2 linked regions of the Caenorhabditis elegans genome follow. The protein of the gene in region 2 purifies or fractionates together with the protein of the main gene of each other region. This does not show direct contact. Each region holds a gene or a part of one and is shown on either strand. Other genes may lie near its edges.

Region 1 (5,074 bases), 5.6 Mb from region 2:
GCGGAGGCAGCAGCCAACTCAACCAAGGCAGCCCAACCCAACTCAGCCACCGGTCCAGTTGTTCTCCTCACCATTGTGGCAGTTACTATGAACAGTTATTGTTAACATTGGCGGTTTGAACGTTTTGTGAATCCAATAAATACATTATTTAATCACGAGTTTTTGTTATCACGGTGTTGAAAGTCTTGTCGTCTTCACATTGTCCTCCAGGAGTGAGCAGTATTGAAGCAGATTTTGAGGATGTCCTAACAAGCAAATATGTTCACTTGTCTTATTGACCAAATGTCATTCTTGAATAGCTTGCATTGTACGCGAAACCTCAGACCGTTTTTTCAGAACTTTGTTTGTCAGGAATTTTTTCGAATTTTCCAGAAGGTTCTAGAACTGTTATGTACCAAAAGCTTGCGGCTCTGTGCAATCAATCTACTAAGATTTCGGAGGCTTGTCGTCGCTGGAGAAGAGATTAGCACAAACTTATTTTTTTTAAGAATTCATAATTAGAAATATTTTCTTATTCAACAGTAACATTTTTTGTAGCATTATCTCAAGTTTCAACGTTTTTATGGCGTTTTTACGAGTTCCCATAATTAATTGTCACCCTGTATATAAAGTAAATGATATTTTAAAAACATTATCTTGTCATTATTTCATTTTAGTCAAGTTTAGAACAATCTTTATAATGTTTGAGACTTGACCGTAAAAAAAACATTTATTTACTTTAGATTTGAACAAAACATAATAATATCAATTTTAAGGTGACCGAAGAAATTTCCCGCCAAATATCTGCATAACCACTAAAGTGAACATGTATTGAAGATGGTGATGCGACTAAAATGAGAATTAAGCTTTAAAAAATCCGAAAAAAAAGTTAATACCTTGAGTTAGCCGCCGATAAGAATCATTGGACGATTTGGCAAGTTTTTCAGAGCGTCCATTCCTAAAAAGTGAATTTTTTTGAATCCAACTTGTCTGATGGGTTATTTACCGGCATGTCTAGCTTTTTTGTTGTCCACGGCTGTTTGAATGACCTCGGAAAGCTTTGCGTCAGAGTCACCACAACGAATTCTATCACGTAGACTTACTTCGGAATTTCCATGGAGGCATACCTTAAATTAATCAATGTTTTGAAAAAATGTTTTGAAGCATTCAAAATTTTTGATAAATTTAGAATGTCTTTTTGTACGTTTAAAAGTCTACAATGTCCAAACTCTTTTAATTTATATATTATTTTAAATTTTTTATAAATATGATTACACCAGTTTCACCTAATTACACCAGTTTCACATCTCAAAAATACTCTTTACATTTGTCAACAACTCACTTTCAAATTTCCATCAGCAGTTATTCTTAGCCTATTGCAAGTGTTACAAAAGTGATCTGACATCGAGGTGATAAACCCAAATTGTCCTTGGAATCCGTCAATCTTATAAGCTTTAGTTGTGTCATTAGGTAAGTCGGATAACCGTATGACGGCATCCCCATATTTATCAACAATTAAGTTCAGCATTTCTCGATAGCTCATGAAACTGTCATTTTTGAACTCGTTACCGCCAAAAGGCATGAACTCTATGAATCGGATGTCAAGGTTACGACCTTTAGTTAGATTCACAAAATCAACAATTTCGTTCTCATTTTGGTGTTTAAGAACAACAACGTTCAGCTGAAAAAATTATAGTTTTTTTTTAATCGAGAATGATCAGAAATTGAAACTCACTTTAACTTTTGGAAAATAACCTCTCGCTAGTTCAATTGCCTTCCAAACTTTGTCAAATCCATCCCGTCTTGTCATCTTAGCAAATTTTTCACGATCAAGCGAATCAATGCTGATGTTTATCTAAATCGAGGCAACTTTAAAAAAAATTAGTTTTGGTTGAAATGTAAGAACCAGAAGCTTTTTGAAAAAATACATTATTAACTATGATCATAGTTTGATCTGAATCGATGAAATTTTCAGGTAGATATGAAATAGGAATCAACAGCTAGAATTATTTATTGAAATGTCTCCGGCAACGATTCACAAGAGCGACCTTATATTTTTACAGTTACATATATTTGAAAAATGTGTTCACCTTTGTCAATCCGGCATCCTTCAACTTGGGTAAAAACCTCGGCAAAACAAGACCATTTGTTGTAATACCAACTTCTTTGATTCCTGGAGTAGAGGAGATCCCTTCTGAAAATTCAACGTGTTATGTTTCATCATTGTAGTTATACGTTCACAATGAACTCACCAACAATCTGCACAAGATCATTCCGAATAGTAGGTTCACCGCCTGTCAGTCTGACCTTGTCAACACCATGTGCAGCGAATAACTTTACAAGCCTTAGTACTTCACTGTTTGAGAGCATTTTATCTTTGGGCTTGAGTGGAATACCTTCGGCTGGCATGCAATAAAGGCAACGGAAATTGCATTTTTCCGTTAGAGATATCCTCAAATAAGTGTGCTCTCTCATAAACATGTCAAAAAATGGTAGTTGTCCTTTTGCCCGTTCGATCTGAAATTGTAAAATTAACGACCCTTGAACACTCCGAATTTTTTTATGTTACTGATTTCTAAAGCTCATTGTGACAATTATCTTCTAGAATACCTCTTGAATTTTCACTTTAACTGCTTCTCTTTTCTGTTCTGGCGTCAGCAAAACGATTGGCTCTGCATGTTCTCGTAATGGAACGGTTAGTTGTTTCACAATTTCTCCCGCTGATGACTTTGTCCTTGACCACTGAAATAATTTTTTTCCGGCTTGAAGACACATCTGTAATATTTATATCAAAATACTTCAGTGCCGGCCACTTGATTTTAAAAAAATTGGGAATTTACTGATGATATATTCAAAAATATAATAAAATTAAAGTGTAACTATAAAACGTTTCAAAACATTTTGGAATTTTTTAGTTCGAGTCAAAAAGTAGTGGAAAACTGAGTTAGCGCCACTGCTGGAAACTTTTTATATATTTTTTGAATGAATTAAGTGTGAGCAATATTATTCCTAACAATAAAAGTTGTTCAACTAAGTCCTATGACGAATAATGATAACGTCTGTTCAATAAAATATAAATTGAGTCTTGGCACACTCCTGATGGAAATTTTTTAAAGCACTGATAACTAGTCATGAGGGCAGTCAAATTGACTTTCAACTGACATTCTTCACTTTATGGCAACGAGCAATAGTAAAAGTTCCCAACATCGGAAGTTTGTGCGGGTAGTTGCCAGTGTTGTTGTAAATGTTTGCCGTCGTTATTCCAAAAATACGATTTTGGATTTTGAATTCCGAAATTTTTTTAATAAATCAATGTTAAAGTTAGCTTGCAATAAGTTAAAAGCAACTTTTCAACATGTTGTCTAACTTATTCAATAGGTGAAAAATTAGGAAATCGCAACTTCCAAAATTCCAAATATATTCTATCAGCAAAAAAGCTCATCAAAGTTCATTGAAAAATTGAATTTTTACAAAAATTATCGTGAGTATGAACTTTGAAAAGTTCAAAGGTCGTTGAGAAAGATGATCAAATACCCTTAAATAGCAAACTTTTTGGTTCTCACCAACAAAGTGCAGACTTGTAATAATGAATCCTCAGCGAGGAATTCTTTTTGCCTGTCTTCTCGTCGTTGTGACCAATCGTGGAGCTACTGCTCAACATGCAAGACCGCCAGTAGGAGTAACAGGAGATGTCACGGGAGCTCGCATAGACCCTCCGTCAGACAAATGTGAAAACCCTTCCGTCAACATCGCAACTACGGAGGCCCCAAAAATCGTCACAACAGCGGAGCCAGCAGCCAACTCAACCAAGCCAGCCCAGCCCAACTCAGCCACCGGTCCAGTTGTTCTCCTCACCATTGTGGCAGTTACTATGAACTAGGGCTCCCAGCTAAGTGAGGCGCGGAATGCGGGCCTCACGCCGGCCTCACGCCGGCCGGCCTCGCGCCGACGCCGCACGCCGCTGTGTGTGTGAAATGCAGTGCGAGAGGTAGTTATTTGAAGCGGCCGACACGTTCGGGGTTCCGCAGCTTAGTGTGAAATGAGTAGCTTGGTGTGTGTGCAACGTAGTGTCTCACTATACATGCGGCGTGGGTGACGCCGTGAGGCCGGCGCGGCGACCGCTGAGGCCGGCGAAGGCGCCTTTGCGGCGACCTCATGGGAGCCCTACTATGAACAGTTATTTTTAACATTGGCAGTTTGAATGTTTTGTGAATCCAATAAATACATTATTTAATCATCAGCGTTACTGTATCATCGTGTTGAAAGTGTTTTGTTCTTCTATAGTCCTCCAGAAGTGAGCAGTATTGAAACACATTCTGAGGATGTCCTAACAAGCAAATATGTTTACTTGTCTTATTGACCAAATGTCTTGAATATTTAGTTTTGTATGCAAAACCTCCTACTGATTTTTCAGAACTTTGTTCGTGAAGTTTGGCCTGAAAATGCAAACCATGGTCAAACACCGAGTTTTAGTTATTTCTGACAGGTGTGGACAAATTTCATGCTGACAGGTGTGGACAATTTCAGCTGCTTTAAGGCTAACTACAAGCTCTAGGAGTCTTGTTGATCTGCATCTTGGCCACGCTGCGTCAAAGGTGTCAAGTATCATAACTTTTGTATCACTTTTCATTAATAACATCGGTTCCTGAAAAGATCTGACAATTAAAAGCTTACTATTTAACGTAAATATGAACTTTGAAAAGTTCAAAGGTAGTTGAGAAAGGTAATGAAACTTACCTTAAATACGGACCTTTTTGAATATTTTCATCATTGTGCAAAAGTGCAACAATGAATTCTCAGCGAGGAGTTCTCTTTGCCTGTCTTCTTGTCGTTGTGGCCAATCGTGAAGCTACTGCTCAACCGGCAGGAAGTGTGGTTGCATTCCGAACAGGAGGATCTGCCGTTGGTGCAAGCCAATGTAAGCACCATTCAAGAGAATACTCTGCCGTCTCTATAATATTTGTTTTCCCAAAGACAATAAGAGAAACGCATACATGCAGACGCACAGAACTTGAATGGCGGCGGTTTTGAAGTTTTTGCGCCGCGCTGAAAATTATGATATGAGCTTTAAGTACTACTCACCCACTCTTGCTTG
Region 2 (4,291 bases):
TTTAATTTAAAACTCATGTGTTCAAAGTAAACTCTGCTTTCAGACATTCCACTAGGACGCAACGCACGTTTGCTATAATATTTACGTAAACAAGTAGATTGAGCCGAATTTCTACAGCATATGAATGTATTTAGACAAATTATGTCGAAAGTGTTCTTTCCGTGAAAAAAAACATGTAATCACGCTTAAGGAAAAAATGTAATCACGCTTAAGGAAAAAACACAAAACAAATGATTTCCGAGTAAATCCATATGTGCATGGTATGGAAATTTGGCCCCTTTCAGTCACCTTTGCTTATTTTGCAGAGTTTTTAATAAAAAGTTGAAAACTGTCAGTTTACATTCCACTTTTAATAAAGTAATGCAGACACAGTTATTGAGAAATAATAGTATATTTCAGACCAATTAATCAACGGCCAATAGGATTTGATCCACTGCCAAATTACCAGTACCCACCTCCTCCTTATCCACCAATGATGTATCCTCCGCCGTCGTATAGTCTGATGGGACGAGTTGGAAGTATGACTGATAACATTCTGGATAATGTCATGGAATTTGTGTTAGGACGTCGACGACGCTGAACTATTGCGAAGATTTGATTTATTTTTTGTTGCAAAATGAAGAAAATGACAACTTGAAATATAAAAAGTCATGAAAAGATAAAACAAAAATACACGTAAAACGTTTTTAAGAAAAGGCGGTGAAGGAAGGGAAAATAACTTAAGACTGTGGGTGTTGGGAATAAGTAGAAAACTTAAAATGTGAGTTAGGATTTAATTGGGTTAGAAACAGGAAGTTGAAATTCTGATTCGAAGACACCGGCTCAGAACTGAATTGGGCATAAAAAGTGAGTAAGCAAAGAAACAAAATTAGAAAAAAAAACAAATAAAGCAAAAAAGCAAAATCGATCGATCTTAAGATTGAGAAGGAAACGAATGAAAGGATCAGATCATCGGAAATGGGAGAGATTTGATAGAAAGGCATGAAGACAGATTGAGCAGATCATCTAGTTTGACATCCGACAAATTCAGACAGTTTCAGCGGATATTCTTGTACTACTTTGAACTTCTTCGTGTTGTAAACCTGAAAAATTAACATAAAAGATCGATTTATATTTCAACAGCAAAGTTGGAATCCTATTGAAAATTGTTACTATAGAGTCGCTATCGAGAGAGTTATGAATGCTCTAAAAGCTGATACGTATGCTGAACTCAAGATATAAATTTTCCCGATAATTTCGGCAATTGGCGTTCTCTGAAAATTTAAACTTATCGGAAATTGACGGGGCTGCCGATTTTCGTAAATATAAGTACTGTTTAATTGAGAATATCGCCAGCGGAAAAAAGTGGCCGACTGCCGAAGATTTTAATATTGCGGAAAGAATACCTTTAACTTGTTTGTCTTGGTGTACATCAAAAGTGTTTCTCCAGCTCCGTTGTACACGATTCCCAGTAGATCCCTTGGCAGATTTGGGAAATACTTGCGTGTGTGGCCTGTGAATGTGGCTAAGTTCCAGTATGCGTCGTAGATGATGAAGTGTTCACCCTGAAATCATTTCAACCATGACAAGAAGGTTTTCTTAAGATTGATATCAACTCACACTGAGAACAACTTGATTTCCATCGGCCCATTCAAATGCTGACAATGGATGGATTGTGATGTTTCGGGGAAGATCTTGTGGGGTATTTTTCGCCAGCTGGAATCTACGATGTTTTCTGTTCCAACGGAATCTGTATGCAGTTCGTCCATCAAAGAGAATTGTGACTCCAGATCGAGAATTTGTCAATGCGGCGGTCACAGTTCTCGGTCCTCCAGCAAAGAATTCACTGATCAAGTAAGACGCTTTTTGTGGAAGTCCGTCTTCAAACCAAATTTGATAAACCCTTTCGCGAGCAAAAACATAGGTTCTTCCATTGATTCCCTTTGTAATTGCATCGAATTTTTCAGGACAGACATCAAATGACAGAGCCATTGCTTTCTTTGGAACTTCAGCTTCTTTCTTTTTCGGAACAACATGAGTGATTCTCCATGGAGCAAGGATCAAGTCACGACGTTCACGTCCAAGGACGACTTTCTGCTGACGATGCTGCTTGTTTTTTCTACGACGGACTGTTGGATCTTGTCCACTGGCACGAATCATTTCCCATTTGGTCTGACTATTCATACGTGGCAAAGTTGGAACTTCTTCCGAATTTACTTCGTATTGAGGTGCGTCATCTTTGTCGTCGATCATCTAGAAAATAAGTAATATAACATTTGTTTAAAATTAGAAAATTCCTTCTATAAGAAGGCTGCAACAATAAAATAAAATAAAAAAAAACAGAGACTTCGCTAGTTCACTTCTAAATTTCGGACAATGTATTTCTTCTTCAGATTACTAGTTTTCACTCATTGAAGCAAATTTTTTGAAAAGAGCTTACTATTGGATCCGATTCGTGTTTGTAATAGGTGTCTCCAATTTCTGAATTGACCATTTTGTCCACGAATCGACTCTCCACCGTTGTCACCAGTATCAACAGCAATACCACCAGTGGCTTCCTCATTCTGAAGTTAAAATAATGTTTCTTCATAAATATTTTACAATGAAGAGAGGGCACGGAAAAATGAAAAAGACAACATGGTTTCCTCCAGACAGACTCAAACCACGCCTCTTTCATACACACGGCCAACACACATTGAGATGGTGTCAGGCAAAGTGTCAAGTAGAGACAATGTTTGAGATGAAGAGACAGAGAACATAGAAGAGGTATGTGGCAGATGAGCATTTTTTAAATTGAGAAAAGGCGAGAACGAGCAAGATAGTTTCAAAGGACAGAAAAGGAGGAAAAAAGTGAGGTCGAACGGAAAACTTTTAAAACTTTCAAACATGAAAAGGAAGAATATTTGAGCAAATAGGTTTGATAAAAATTTGATACAGTTAGGAAAAAAGAAGAAGATGCCCTTAAAATCAATATTGTATTTTATCTTATATGAAACTGAACCCGCTGAGTTGTGAATTTCGGACTATTACGATCAGATGTTTCACATCCTACGTTTCAAGTTCTATTTGTCATATTCTTTTTCTTAAAACCTCTGCCCTTCCAACAGTCTAGAGTAAAGTTACAAAAAGAATCCTTGATGACACATTTCTCACTCCTAACCTTCAATATCCCCGTTGTTAAAAAGCAAGCAACGTAAACATTTTTCCATTATCTACCATCGGCTACCATTTTATTTTTACAAATTTACGATCAAAAATAGATTTTTCTAAACAAAATCATGAGATATCGTCTGGGACATCAAAGTAATATAGCCGACGGCAATTTGCAAAATATGAGAAATATGAGAAGATCAAGAGAGGTATGAAACCACAACGTCTGCATTAACAAGTACCCCTATTTTGCATAACACGAGATTACGATACGTGCGCAAAGAAAACGAAAGAAAAGGACAAGAATAGAAGAGATGAGGATGGTAAATGTGTGAAAAACGGTTGAATTACCAAGTCAAGTAGGTTGAAGAAATGATTTCTTACGAGAAAATGTTGGGTATGACATCTTGCAAATGTCTAGACTTGACTTGAAATAGTAAAAAGGGTCAAAAAATTAAATTTTCATGCGAAGTGCTTTTTATGTTTATTGTACATGGTTTTTACGAAAACGATGTTCAAGTGATATTTTGAATATATTTTCTGTGTTTTAGATAATTCTAAAAACTTTTTTACGACTTTTTCCATAATTTTTGTATACGTTCATCTGAATGAATATGAAATTTCAAAAAGAAGAACTCTAAAGGATCAAACACCACAGTCTATGAAAGTTTGAATAGAGAATAACATTGATATTTTTCCCCATTACTCTCATTTCAACTCCATACATATCTCTTTCTTTCCCGTTGCTCTTCAACTTTTCTTTCTGATTTGAACGTGTTTGCGATACAAAAGAGCCGGGAGGTCTTCCTCGCCGCTGAGACAGTCGCCACCCGCCACATGAAATTATTTGTTCAAATTATGCCTTGTACAATAAGTGTGCGGCTCCTTGTTCAACCATGACACTTTTGTTTTCCGAAGAACAGAGTGGCTCATGCATCGGTCGTGGGGCAAGTCGGCTGAACACTGACTGAAAAGCTTGGCTCGGCGCGTGAAGTGTGCTCATCAGGAATGACGAGTTGCTCTTTTGTAACTCTCCGACAACATGTCTTTTGACTTTTTTGAAGGAAAGTCGGCATCAATACACACACACAAAAAGAGATATGGTGATTATCTGGCTCTCACGTCCACTCGTTTGCAAAAGCGGTGTTGGTTGCCATAAAAG

Evidence for each region.
Region 1: the proteins of K03B8.6 (region 2) and F49H6.5 fractionate together in Caenorhabditis elegans (co-fractionation; one large-scale study listed by BioGRID). This does not show direct contact.

Annotation. Positions count from the first base shown.
Region 1 is NC_003283.11:17,021,155-17,026,228, reverse strand, and holds F49H6.5 (GTP 3',8-cyclase), read right to left. Parts: upstream 2,989-5,074; 5' UTR 2,755-2,988; coding exon 2,590-2,754; intron 2,497-2,589; coding exon 2,232-2,496; intron 2,174-2,231; coding exon 2,070-2,173; intron 1,835-2,069; coding exon 1,715-1,834; intron 1,661-1,714; coding exon 1,322-1,660; intron 1,107-1,321; coding exon 986-1,106; intron 938-985; coding exon 882-937; 3' UTR 702-881; downstream 1-701. Other genes in the region: F49H6.15 (uncharacterized protein), read left to right, coding at 1-91; F49H6.8 (MS Related Protein), read left to right, coding at 3,566-3,859; F49H6.12 (MS Related Protein), read left to right, coding at 4,768-4,897.
Region 2 is NC_003283.11:11,405,836-11,410,126, reverse strand, and holds K03B8.6 (uncharacterized protein), read right to left. Parts: upstream 2,544-4,291; 5' UTR 2,543-2,543; coding exon 2,420-2,542; intron 2,233-2,419; coding exon 1,600-2,232; intron 1,545-1,599; coding exon 1,386-1,544; intron 1,083-1,385; coding exon 1,002-1,082; 3' UTR 584-1,001; downstream 1-583. Other genes in the region: K03B8.8 (Conserved secreted protein), read left to right, coding at 400-580.